3 linked regions of the Rattus norvegicus genome follow. The protein of the gene in region 3 purifies or fractionates together with the protein of the main gene of each other region. This does not show direct contact. Links are inferred from orthologs where the notes say so. Each region holds a gene or a part of one and is shown on either strand. Other genes may lie near its edges.

Evidence for each region.
Region 1: the proteins of C10h17orf49 (region 3) and Hmgxb4 purify together in Homo sapiens (affinity purification with mass spectrometry; 4 studies listed by BioGRID and IntAct, with this or other methods). This does not show direct contact. The link is inferred for Rattus norvegicus from reciprocal best matches to the Homo sapiens genes BACC1 and HMGXB4.
Region 2: the proteins of C10h17orf49 (region 3) and Smarca5 purify together in Homo sapiens (affinity purification with mass spectrometry; 5 studies listed by BioGRID and IntAct, with this or other methods). This does not show direct contact. The link is inferred for Rattus norvegicus from reciprocal best matches to the Homo sapiens genes BACC1 and SMARCA5.

The regions. Positions count from the first base shown.
Region 1 is NC_086037.1:13,369,410-13,373,412, forward strand, and holds the start of Hmgxb4 (HMG domain-containing protein 4), read left to right. Parts: upstream 1-1,149; 5' UTR 1,150-1,214; intron 1,215-1,732; exon of another isoform or gene 1,733-4,003. UniProt on the Homo sapiens protein: Negatively regulates Wnt/beta-catenin signaling during development.
Region 2 is NC_086037.1:44,174,836-44,179,193, reverse strand, and holds the start of Smarca5 (SWI/SNF-related matrix-associated actin-dependent regulator of chromatin subfamily A member 5), read right to left. Parts: upstream 2,855-4,358; coding exon 2,849-2,854; intron 504-2,848; coding exon 429-503; intron 1-428. UniProt on the Homo sapiens protein: ATPase that possesses intrinsic ATP-dependent nucleosome-remodeling activity.
Region 3 is NC_086028.1:55,450,478-55,454,788, forward strand, and holds C10h17orf49 (chromatin complexes subunit BAP18), read right to left. Parts: upstream 2,835-4,311; 5' UTR 2,770-2,834; coding exon 2,749-2,769; exon of another isoform or gene 2,591-2,748; coding exon 2,496-2,590; exon of another isoform or gene 2,381-2,495; intron 2,029-2,380; exon of another isoform or gene 1,947-2,028; coding exon 1,845-1,946; exon of another isoform or gene 1,341-1,844; intron 1,174-1,340; coding exon 986-1,173; intron 763-985; coding exon 658-762; intron 431-657; coding exon 366-430; 3' UTR 171-365; downstream 1-170. Other genes in the region: Rnasek (ribonuclease kappa), read right to left, coding at 3,285-3,426, 3,899-3,975. UniProt on the Homo sapiens protein: Component of chromatin complexes such as the MLL1/MLL and NURF complexes.

The DNA of each region.
Region 1 (4,003 bases), on a different chromosome or scaffold from region 3:
CAAGGGACCAGCTTCTGGTTGCTCTGATCGAGTGTGCACTGTTCACATGGAAGGCTATTATATACTTACACTAGGCTACAAGAACAGGGTCTTTATATTAAACCAGGCTCAGGACATTGCAAATGCTTACTGGTCTAAGTTCTCCTCAGCAAACCAGAAGAAACTGTGTTTCCTCCTGTTTCTTAGAGAAAGAGTAACTTTTATTTATTTCTTTTTTGTGTGTTTGTAGGGGGGCATTCCTGTGGCAGTCAAACTTGTATGAATCAGTTCTCTCTTTCCACCATGTAGGCTTCCGGTGTCAAACACATACCCAGAGGTTTGGTGTAAAATACTTTAACCCACTGAACCAATTCGCCAGTCCTCTTAACACTTAAACAAAAATGTGTGTGAGCAATAGAAATGTAGTGATTTGGTGAGAAAACAGCGTATCTTCCACCTCACCGGGGATGCTATCCAGATGTAGATGCTAAATTACAAATACACACTGCTATTAATCCTCATCACTCTGAATCCAGCAAAGAACAGACTGTCTTGAAATACACATCATAATATTCTGCCTTAAATACTGAAGACTTAGGGGTAAAAAGAGAACAAGAAGGGCTACTATTAGGTGACCAGAAAGAACAGAGAATGCAGAGAAGGACCCATGAGTTCGTAAAAGAGAATACAAAGCTAATTGTTTTTCTAATTCTAAGTTTTCCATGGAGTTTTCCGGGCTTGTATGTGTACGTGGTAGATAAGTACATAAAAATGTAGTTGACAGTGAACGTGTAAAATCCAAAGTGAAGTTCCACAGTTTCAGAACTTCTGTTCTAATTGCATAGTTCACGGACCTGTGAAGACTCTGGGTTGGGGCAGGTGTTTGGCTACATTAATCTGCTTGCCTGACATTTTTTATTTGCGATTTCTTTGCAGAAAGGATTTTTTTTTTAATTCAGGAATAGTCAGAAAACTTGGGCAATTATTTGTTTAGGTCGAGAAGAGATTTTTAGACTAAACCTGGCAAGGAGTGGTGTATCCTCAAAAGGTACCGCGACCGCGCTCAGCAAGCTATTCGATGCGCTCGACGCTCTTTCGCTGGCGCCGTAGCACCGCGGTAGGAGTCTGCGCTCTGGGCTCGACTGAGGCTCCCTGGTTGCTCGCGCTTTTCTCTCCTTCTCCAAGATGGCGGCGGTCGGCGGCGCTGAGGCGGGATCCGAGCGAGCCGAGTGAAGGTAGCGGCGAGCGGAGCCCCCACCAGACCCAGCCGGACCCCCACCCCGGGGCGGCAACGGCCCTGCCCGGCCTCCGCCCACCGCTCCGGCCCCCCGACACCGTCCCGGAGGCTCTTCAGGCCCGCCGCGGCCTAGCTCAGGGGCCAAGCCGGGAACTGGAGTAGCGGCCGCAGCCGCCCCGGGGAAGGGGCTGGAGCGGGCCGCAGGAGGAAGGCGGCGGGAGCTGTTCAAACCGGGAAGGCGGGAAAGCTGCGGGGCCGGGAGGGGGCGTGCGGCCGCCCCAGGGACCCGCGGCCCGCGCCGCCCCTCCCCCTGCGCCGCCGTCTGTGCGCTCCGGGGCGCCGGAGGCCGACGGGACGCGGGAACTCGGGTCGGGAGGAGCGCGGCTGGGGACCCCAGGCGCGGGTTACCTGGGGCTGTCAGGAGGAGAGGTCCCGGGCCGACGGGCGGGAGGGCTGGGCGCGCGGCGAGCGGGAGAGGATGCGCGGAGCTCCCTGAGCTGCGCAGAGCTTTGTTGAACTAGCGGTTGCAGCAGACCTGCCGAGGTTAACAAATCGGGGACCCCGGGAACGGTGGTCTTGGGGACTGTGTGGATAAACAATCTCGTATTGTGTGTGTTCTTTGCGTGCGACTCAGTTTGAACATGTCTTAAGTGGAGTCATCTCCATACAGGCCCATTTCCCCCTCCACAACCACTACTTGTAGATTCACTTTAGTTTATATCATACATCAGACAAGATATGTCTACCGCCCACCCTACCCTTGTTTCTAGTACTGGCTGATTCTATTCCCTTGTAGCAAAATAAATTTTTTTAAAAACTGCATCCAAAGTAAAGCCTGTTGATTACGCATGGCTTGTCAAAATTTGGATCGCAGGTTTCGTGGAACCGAGTGTGTTATTAGCCAATCTGTGCTGTGGTCGTGATTACACTTATTAGCATTGCAACGAGAAGATTCAGTGCGCGTTTCTGGCTGTAGAGATCTCTGCAAGTTCCGAAGCTGGCAGGGGCTGGAGTGCTGCTTAGGTAGGTCCTTGGAAAAGGGTGTGGCGAGAAGAACTCCAGGAGATCGGATAAGGAAGGAAACCCACTGAAACAAGAATTCACCTGTGCTACGGTAGAAGTAGCAACAAAATATCAGAATCTGTGGACATCTGGAAGTGTTTCTTCCTTTGACTGCGTGGACTGGCAATCTGAGTTCCTAGAAACAGCCTTGGGGGAAACCCCCATCTGGAGGACAGAGACCTTCCTTGCCCAGTTTACTAGGTGGATTTTCTTTCTCAATTCTCCAATCTGTTCTGGGATGATGATGATGATGATGATACTGTTAGCGATTGCTGGAATAGAGATTACCTCCAAAAAACTCATTTTCTGAAACTTTTTTTTTATAGTTAACACTTTGAATTTCCAAAATAACAAAATTCTACCTTTGAAGATTTTAACTTTTTTCATAATTACTTGGTTATCCCAAAAGCCTGTGCTGAAGGTTGACCTGCAGTTTTACTGTCAAGTGGAATTAAGAGCCTGCTTCTCCTTTCCCATACCCTGAAGAAAAGCCTTGGAAGAGCCCAGCCACCGTGTTCACGTTTTCTAAGCATTCGCTTTCTATATATAATGACGTAAACAGTATTAAACAATGAATGAGCTTTTCTATGCTGTCATGTCTTTGCACACCAAGACAAACACTAACTGTAAGATTATCCTGATCCAAGAAGTTGACAACATTGAATTTTGTAAACTCCAAAATTATGGAATTCGAGAGAATGGATTTTGGCGCCTGTTTTATGTTGCCAACATTTGATGTAGTTTTCTGATGTGAAAATCAAACCTAAATTTTTCATCTTCATTAACCCTCCCAGTTTACTTCCTACCCCGGAGTCCTCAATTTAATTGGTGTTTATCTAATCTTGTATAAATGTTCCTGAACTCTGCTTTCTTTCACACTGCTGCTTGAGACCTTTTTCCCCTGGTACTGTCTTATGAGTCAGCTACCATGGAACCCTGAGCCACCATTCAGGGCCCGCCAATCTGCCCGGCCTGTGACTAGTCCATAGTAGTTCTCGGTTTCTGGACTTCCCTACATATTGGTGACCTGGACTTGTGTTCAGGGCTCACTCACTCTTCCCATGAGCATCTGGTCTTTGTTTTGAGAAAGTTCCAGTAGTAGCAGGTATGACCCTAATACAAAAAGCCTGCACATCTGTGTTGACCTGCCTTAAGGAACATTCCCTGATTTTACTTTTCCAAACCATTTTTAAAAATCTACTAGTTTTTCACAGCAGTCAGGAAATAACTTTTCATACCTAGTAAAAAGTTCAGTCAGCTCCCACACCAGTAAGATACTGATTAATTCTGTCTCATCAGTTTTAATGTTCTCAAGGAGGAAAACCTGTTTATGAGTCTCTGAGCCTGCCTTTACTTACGTTTAAAAGTGTATTGGTGTTTGACCAATACACTTTTAGTGGCTGTATCATGAGACTAAATATGGATGTTGTTGGACTGGGAAGGAAGAGGGCATTATTTCTCAAGAATTCTATGCCAAAATTCATCTGGCATGAAAAGCCTGAAACTTCAGTCTAAAATTGTTTTACCTAGTATCAGCCTGTGAAAGCCAAGGGGACCTGTATGGCTTTCTAATAAACTCATCGTTTTTGAACTAGTGAGAATATTGCCCTTGTTTTGTTTGAGAGATTCTCTCTAAATAGTCCTGGAATTCATTATGTCAATCAGGCTGGCCTTGAACTCACAAGATAGCCACTTGTCTCTGCTATCCAAGTGCTGGAATTAAAG
Region 2 (4,358 bases), on a different chromosome or scaffold from region 3:
AAAAACTGCAATGTAGGGCTGTGTCAGATTTGTTTTTAAACAGCACAGTGCCCTGTACAGTTACCACACTACCAAAGGTGTCTTTAGACAGCCTTGTCCTGTAGTGTTTTCAATAGCCACTAACCTTGCCTGGAACAGCCTGGGGATTATAAAGTGGCATGGAAATTTAAAACAGGCTCTTGTATCTGATACATAGCACAAATTAGTTATATATGTGGACTGGTAGTTTTTTGGGTTTTCAGTTTTGTCTCTGTTGCAGCTTATACAAGGATAATTGTTCTGTCAACAGAATACCACTCTATAATTACAAAAAAAAAAAAGCTGTTTTGTTGACATTCTAAAAGCATCTAAGTAAATACAGATGTTTAGTAGATTTAATTATCCTGAGAAAAAAGTTCATTAAAACCATTCACATGTCTAGAACATACCATTTTTTCTTCATATGTAGGATCAGGTTCTTGGATTTCTTTTTGCTTTCCAGGTGATCCATCATCAAATACTTCCTGGTAGGAAAGGAAATTCATCAAATTGTTTAAGGATTGTCTACTCACTATCATACACTCATTTCTTTCAAAAAAAAAAATCATTCTAAATAATATACTCTTGCTCCAAACTCCCTAGATATTTACTGGCTATCAGATAACCTGGAATGAAACTTAATATGGATGAAAATAAAATACTATGGGGATAATCACTTTTCCCAATTATAAACTGTATTAAGATCTGCTATGATAAAATTAGTATCAATAACACCCTAAAACAAAATTACTTTTTATACAAGCCATACGGGCAAATCTGTATCTTTTCAAATAAAATTATAAATACAAATTAGGTAACATGAATGTGAACAAAGTTCTCTTTATATCATAAAACTCCATCTATCTACTGTGTTATTTTATACAAATGTATACATAGAAGGAAGCATTAGATCCTAATTTCCACTATCTAGGACATTACCCAAAAAAGGAGCTTACATAGCATACCCTTAGTCTGACTCCCAGTTAATAATATTCTATTCTTAAAAAGCATCTTGACATTCAAATGCCACAAGCAAAATGACAAAACCTCCAGCTCTAACTTATAGAAAAATTCTTGTAGCACACATTCAAGGAAAAGTACACCTTACAATAATAATGTGTGTTTTCCAACTGCAGATGTTACGTCTATAATTCAGTCTTTTTTTCCAACTGTAAAACATACCTAAGGTCCTCAAATACATTAGACATACTCAACTCAAACCTAGTTCTGATTCTAAATTCAGTTAAGACAATGAAAAGCAGTCTGAAGGTAACTGTCTTAAGAGGGAATAAAATAACCAGGAGAATTTAAACCCCAATGAAATTCTTTAATTCTTGAGTTGCTGTTTTTCAATTAAAATGTAAATATGAACATAAATGTGAAAAGCCCAAATAAGTGGTATTTCCATTAACCAGACGAGTAAACTGGGTCTTCTCAGTATAGAAATACCAATAGTTTCTATTTTTTCTCAATCTTATTCTTCACTCCTTTTCTGTTTATGTCATAGTTCCTACTTGTTTATTCTTATTGTTTTGGTTTTTTGAGACAGGATTTCTCTGTGTAGCCCTGGCTGTCCTGGAATTAGCTCTGTACACAAGGCTGGCCTCAAACTCACGAGATACCTCTGCCTCTGCCTCAAGTTCTGGGATTAAAAGGCCTGAGCCACCAGATTCCTTTATTTCATGGAACAGAAATATAAGAATCCAAGTTAAACAACCCTAGAAACTCTAAAAACCATTTAAAACCATAGGGGGAGCATCAAATACATTTTTAAACTGAAATTGCATTCACTTCAAATTGGTGCACTACACCAGCACCTACCTTCCCCAGGAAAAGTTGTTTCGAAGATTAACAATATTTCACCCAAGCTGCCCAATAAAAGTAAGCACACTGCACCATCATCTCCTTAGAGTGTAAATTCTATGCTAAGGTTCATTTTTATTGTATTACTTCCAATCTGAGGATTAAATTCCCAGGAATCTTCAGACTGGAACCTCAAATAATAATAACACCTCAAAACAAGACCAAGGCCAAGAATAAAAATTGGGAGCAATAACTTGGTTTCCAGGCAACTCAAAGCCTGGGAGCATATCCAAGAGACCTGCCTGGCAGCTCCCCCATTTTCCACCCTTTCCCTGCTTCCTCCAGTATTGTCACCATCATCTGGCCCACTAGAGCCCTGAGAAGGTGGTTCAACAGCGATTCCTCCAAATGGCTTCAAAAGGAAGCAACGTACTGGGCTAGGAGCCCATCACCCTCCCCCGATGCTCCCATTCATTCAGTTTTCCACGCATACACCCCTAATTGGATGGGGAACCAAGACAGGTGCTGCGGCTGTCATGCTCGCTCTCCTCCCAGTGGAGCAGGGCCCAGGAGGGGCCTCCCCTCGCTGCACAGAAGCAGCTGCGCCCCGCTTATCCCCACTGCGCATTCGGCCCTCCAGTTCTCGCCATTGTTTCTGCCCAGAACAGACTGATGCCGCCCCCGCCAGCACGGGATGAGGCACTGGAGGCGCAAGTCCTCAGCTGCGACGCTGGGAAACGTCGCCCTCGCCCCGGGAATCCCACTCCGGAGGGGCATTTCCCTCGCCCTCCTCAAAGTTTAGTGCAAACTAAAACCTAAATCGGAGGAACCCGAGCGAGTTCTGGGGGAGCCTAGCGATAGAGGAAACGGGTCCCTTCGGCCACAGTAATCAGGAACATGTGTTTCGTAAGAGCGATCCGCGATCTGGCTAGGCTAGCTACACCGAGGGGGAAAACGTAAAGGTGAAGTGCGGGAGACGCGCCAGCAGAGCATCCATCTCCCTACCCCACGCCCCGGCCGCGCTCACCTCCATCTCGGTGTCCGCGGGACCCGCGCCTGTGGCGCTCGGAGCCGCCGGCGCCGCGCCGCCCTCCGGGCCGCCTTTGTTGCCGCTGCTGCTCCCGCCGGCGCCCGCCGCCGAGGGCTTGGAAGGCGCGCTCTCGGGAGGCGGGGGCGGCGGAGGCTCAGCCGTGGACGACATGTTCCGGCTGCGTCACCCGCCGCGGCCACGGGCAGGCGCGGCGCCGAGGAAAGCGGCCTGGGCCTGCGCGGCTCTAGCGTCCGGGCCGCCGGAGGAGCGAGACCCGCCCGGAAGCTCTCACGCGCAGGGGCTCCGCCACCGACCAGAGCCGGCCCAGCCGCGACGCTCGCCTAGTCCTCCTCTTCCGCGGGACTCCGCTCCACTGGCGTTTACCTCACGGCGGGAATCACGTCGACGAGGGTGGGCGGGGCCAGCGGGGTCAAGGAGGTCAGGGAGGGCGGGCTGACTGTGAGGAGGCGGAGGGCCGAGGGAAAGGGAAAGGAAAGCGAAAGGTACTCAGAGGTCTCCCGGCGCCTTCTCCTCTACCGGAGTAGATTATCTTCTCCAACCAACCAGACAGCGACCTACGCCACCCGCTCTCAACCCTCGCGAGATCGCTAGTTCCCCCTTCGAGGGCCGGGTTGCGAGGGCGCATGCGCCTGTTCCTCCTAGACTCCGCCTCCTCCGGGCCGCCAGCGGGTTGTGGAAGGCGAGTGGGCGGGGCCTCGAGGAGGCGCGTCGGCGGAGGTTTGCGCGTTCGCTCCTTCGTGTGACGCGAGCTGGCTCTTCGGCGCTCCCGTAACGGCTCCGCTCGCTGTCTCCCGCCGGCTAGAGAGGCCCGCTTGGGAACGGCGCGACTGCCTGGCGACTGTTAGGCGTGGAGCAGAGGCCTGGGCTGGCCTTCGTCGTCCTACCGCCTTCGCTCACTAGCGTGACGTTAAGTGACGTTGGACGCCTGAGAAGAAAAATCTCCTCAGAATTAAACTCTGTGTTCGCTGCATCGGTCAGCTCCCCTTAGAGAGTTCGGTCTATCTCGGCGTTTGTGAACTTCAGGTTAGGCCAGAAGACGCGCTGCCCTGTGAGAACACGAATGGCAACAGATGAAGACAAATGAGAGCGTGTTTTTTACATCAAACAAAAATGCACGTTTGTCTCCAGAAGTGTTTACTAGGCGTGGTGATGCACGCCTTTAATCCCAGCACTGGGGAGGCAAAGGCAAGCAGATCTCTGAGTTCAAGGCCGCCTGATCTACAGAGCGAGTTCCAGATCAGCCAGGGCTACAAAGAGAAAAGTGTTCGTTGTTCTTGTTGCTTCTTTATCCTGCCTCAGGCTGTCATGGAAGCTACTGAGGTCTTTCGTCCTATCCTACAGAATCTAAACACCTACTCCCATGCACAAAAGATATTTGTCATCTTAATCCCGCTCGTTATTTCGTCCCCACCTATATTGAATAAAACTCTTTTCCAGACCTAATTTCAAACTTCTTGGAATAGATAATATTCATATATAAGTTTAA
Region 3 (4,311 bases):
CTTTGTTGCCCACACCCAACTCTCCTGGCTCTAGCAGCACAGAAATATTGGCACGGGTAAGTGAGTCTGCCAATATTGGCTGTGCTGCTCCAGGCAGGGTGGTGAGAGCTACTGAAGGGGCTGAACTCCCGAGGGCGAAGGAGAAGAGGAAACAGCAGCTGGCAGCACCATGCTGAGAGAATTATTTTTAATTATAATTTTCTGTATAAAAACGTCCATCAGACAGAAGTCAAAGGGTGAGGTGGTTATCAGGAACAGGGCGGGTAGCTCCAGCAGCCCTCTGACCCTCTCTCGTGCAGTCCTTGCTTAGAGTCCCAGGCGATCCACAGGTCCAGGGTGAACAATGAGGGTCAGAGGTGGAAGGCTCAGCAGGAGAGTAGAGGAGCATCAGCAGAGGTCGAGAGAAGGCCAGAGTCCAGGGTCAGGCTGTCTGGAACAGGAAGTACAATGGACAGAGATGGAGCAAGCACGGAGGATTTTTTTCCAAGAAAACCCTCACCTCCTCGATCGTCGTATTACTGACTGGCCCAGTCCCCTGTGCTGAGTCTTCCTTTTGAGGCCCCTGCACCAAAAAAGGGCTTCTGCTAGGGCCGTCCCCTACCATCCAGGTGAGTACTTTCCCCACCCCAGCCAGTGTGGGAGGAGGAGGACTCCTACCCTGGTCAAAGTTGAGTTTCTTGGCTGGAGGAGTTTCTCCTAGCCCTTCGACATCCACCAGGTCACTGTTGGCGTCGGAGTCGTTCAGAGCACTGAGTGTCACATCTGGGAGGGGGCATAGGCTAGGTTCTAGGTTTCCCTGACTGCTGTCTTCCCCTCCTCCCAGTTAGCCAAAGCTTCATGCCTTACACAACCCTCTACCCGCTTTGGAATCATCGGAGTACAGAAGAGAGAGGTCTCTCCTTCTTAGATCCAGGCCCAATTCTCTCAATGAATCTCAGATAGGACCTTTAACCCCTACCCTAGGCAGCAACTCCACAGCCCTCACCAGCCTTCTGTTTCTTTATGGGAGGACCCCCAGCTTCAGGGACACTGGAGCTGCTGGGCGGAGGGGCGTTTGGAGGTGAGAGGACACCGGATGTCATCTTCTTGGGACCTTTCTTGGGTGACTCAGCTGGAAGGGGGATACCGGAGTCTTCGTATACTTTTCTCTTCACAGTGGTCTTTATCTGAGCCCTGAAGATAAGAGAGAGACCAGATTAGGGAGTCATCAGAGAAGCGGAGGGAAGAGGGGAGGGAAGGGAATAATGGGCCACTCTGAAGGAATTCTAGTTCCTTCATAAATATCCAGGTCAAGGCCTTAATTCATGAGTCATCAGGGTCCCCCACCCACCCCCACACACCTTCAGAACCTTTGCATCCACTTAGGGATAACTGGTTATGAAGAATGGAGTTCCTGAACTGAGTGGCCAGAAAGGCCCTTTTCATGATTCTCTGGGAGATGTATGGATTTGTAGGGCCACCAGGTACGCTGTGGTGACAGAGAGGCAGACTGAGACTTTCTCATAGAACCTGTCCAGCTAATTAGTTCAGAATGCATCCCTGGACATGCGAGTCTCAAAGGATTTATATAAATAGCCAAGGAACCCTCACCATCAAACACACCCATTGTGTATCTGGGGCACCCTGAAAATAAAATTCTCTGCAGGTCCTTCCTAGTGACCACTGCATTTCCTGAACTTCCAACCAACTGCCACATTTATGGTCTTTCAGTCTTCAAGGAAATGCTAACAAAACTAGGAACAAAGTAGGAAAGATGCTGAGCTGGGAGTTCTGAGAAAGAACAATGGGTAAGGAGGAAGAAAGTTGCCCACCCTCCCCTTTCTCTGCCAACCACCCTCCCTCACACTGTCCGTTCCTTGATGACACAGCTGATGTGATTAAGATCGTCCCCAAATCGCTTCACAGCAGCCCTCAGCATCTCTATCTCCGTCTCCGTCCACTTGGCACTGTCGGAAGGGGAGAAGGGTGATAGCAAAAATGGCAGAGGAGTGTGTGGAACCAGCCCACAGGCTATTCCGTCCACAGCCAGTAAGTAGCCTCTTCCCTCTAGTCTCTAGGGGCACCTTTCAAAGATTCATAAAAAGAACCTCCTTAAGAAAAGCCCTGGGGACAAACCGCTAGCCACATGAAATTGCATCCAGGGCCACTTGAAAACATCTCTTCATCATGTAACAGCTTCTATAAACAACCCATGGAAACCAATGCAACAAGTAGGGGCTTTACAAATAGAACCCTTGAACGATGTGTGGCAGCAGTTTGAGGGAGTCCACAAGGCTTGGGGTAGGTGGCAGACAGTATGTCGGTTTGCAGCGGAGGGTTGTGGACCGGTAGTATCTTTACCTGTCATTCACTAATTCAACAACAATTTACACCTACACAGCGCTGGGCCAGGCACAGAGGAATTAGTAAATCTCCCTGCTCTAGAAAGGGTCGTGACTGTGACTGAGTCCAAACGTCTGCTCTCGGCGTCCAAGTCTTAGTCTGGTCTCACGTACCCGGCAGGGGAAGAGTCCGATACTGGATGCAGCTGCATCGTCAACTCCCCGAGCTTCGTGAAGGCGGCGCCGGCCGCGGAAAAGATCTCTCCAACCTGGGGGCGGAGCAGCATTACGGGGGGCCGGCATCGCGCCGTCCCACCCCAGCCTCGGATCCGCCCGCCCCCCGCCCAGCGCGCACCAGCCGGGAGCCAGGCAGGGGGCCCACCCTCCCGTGGCCGCCAGGGAGCGCAGTCCGCGAGGGAGGTCGAACCTTGGTGGACGCTGACGTCATGGCCCCGCGCACCTCCTCACGGAGACGCTCCGCCGCCACCACCACGCGAGCTGGAAACCACGGAGAGCCCGGCAGCCGGCCGCTCTGGCTCCCGCGCAGGAAGTCCCGCCCTTCTTGCAGCTGATTGGCTGAGACACGACCTCTCCCCAGTCACTCAAACTGCCTCGCTGCGCGGAGGAAGACGAGGTGGAAGACGTCGCTTCATTTCCGGCTGGCTTCATTCCACTTCCGTCGAAGGGTTCGGGTTCCTCGTCGAGGCCGGTCTGTCCTTCAAGCCCAGGCCCGCCCCCTCCTTGAAAGCACAGACACCAAACTTAGGAGAACCGCTTCTTTTTATTGTAGTTCAGGACAGGGCGCGGTCACCCCCGGTCCCCTCCAGGGGTTGGGCAGCAGTTTTGCAGGGCCAGGGATGACGTCTCGCCAGGGTAACAGTCCCAAAGGACACCAGATGAGTGGAACAGATGGACTGAGGAGTCTTTAAATAAGGAGGGGAATGGGGAGAGTCGGACTGCGCTCTAGCGCACCATGTATTCCTTGCGCTTATTGAGACGAACTTGGCAGAAGGAGAAGCCCCCGAGGAGGAGGTAGAGGCCCGCGGCGATGAAACAGTTGTAGCTGACTTGCTCGTACAGGTTGTATATGTTCTGAGGGCCGTTCCTGAAGGTGGCGAGTGAGCAGGGAAATGTAAACCATTCAGAGCATCCAATATGCAAGTTCTATGTATCAGACGCCATGCTAAAGCACTTTGACTTCTACTAGTCTTTCCGAGAATCATACCAGCTGAGTTCTATCATGGTGTCCATTTTACAGAGGTAGACTAAGGAGCAGGAAGGCAAAATATTGGAAGAGACCACATCTAAGCTGGTGGGCTGGGGGTAACCAAGGAAACCTGACTTGCAAGACTGCTCCTAAGTCCCCCTCCACCCCTCCTGCCCTCATCCTGGGGTTTGAAAGTAGGACCCTGCGTGTGAAGCACACGTTTGCCATTAAACTTATTTTGTAAAGAGCAGCCCTTGAAGTCCCCAGCCTAGGGCCATAAATGTCCAGTCTTCAGAAGTGTCCTCCACATAAACCCAAACCATGCTACTTCTCATCTACGCCCAACTCGCCCAAGTACCCGACCACTTACTCAAAATCTTTCTCTGTGAAGGGGACATCCTCAATTAACACAGCAGAATGGACATTGAAAAATATCCCGAGCATTATCTGGAAGAGTAAGGGGATAGGTAGGTTGTCAAATTCTTACCTTACGGCTTTGGTTACTCCCTAGGCTCCTCCCATTTCTAATGTTGGCCCAACACTTGCACCAGAGATTAACTAGAAAGGGCTAGGAGCAGGGTGGTTGTATCTGGAATCGGACTCAGCCATCTGTAACAGGGAGCGAGGTAGGACACTGGGAAGAGTGACTGGGTATAAGGAGGTATATAGCAATCAGCTCTCCAAGACGCGTCATTATCATGGGAGCAGATGGAAGAGATGAGGGAAACACACTTCATATTTCTGGAAGTGGCGGTCATTAGAGCCTTGGGGAATCAAGGCCTC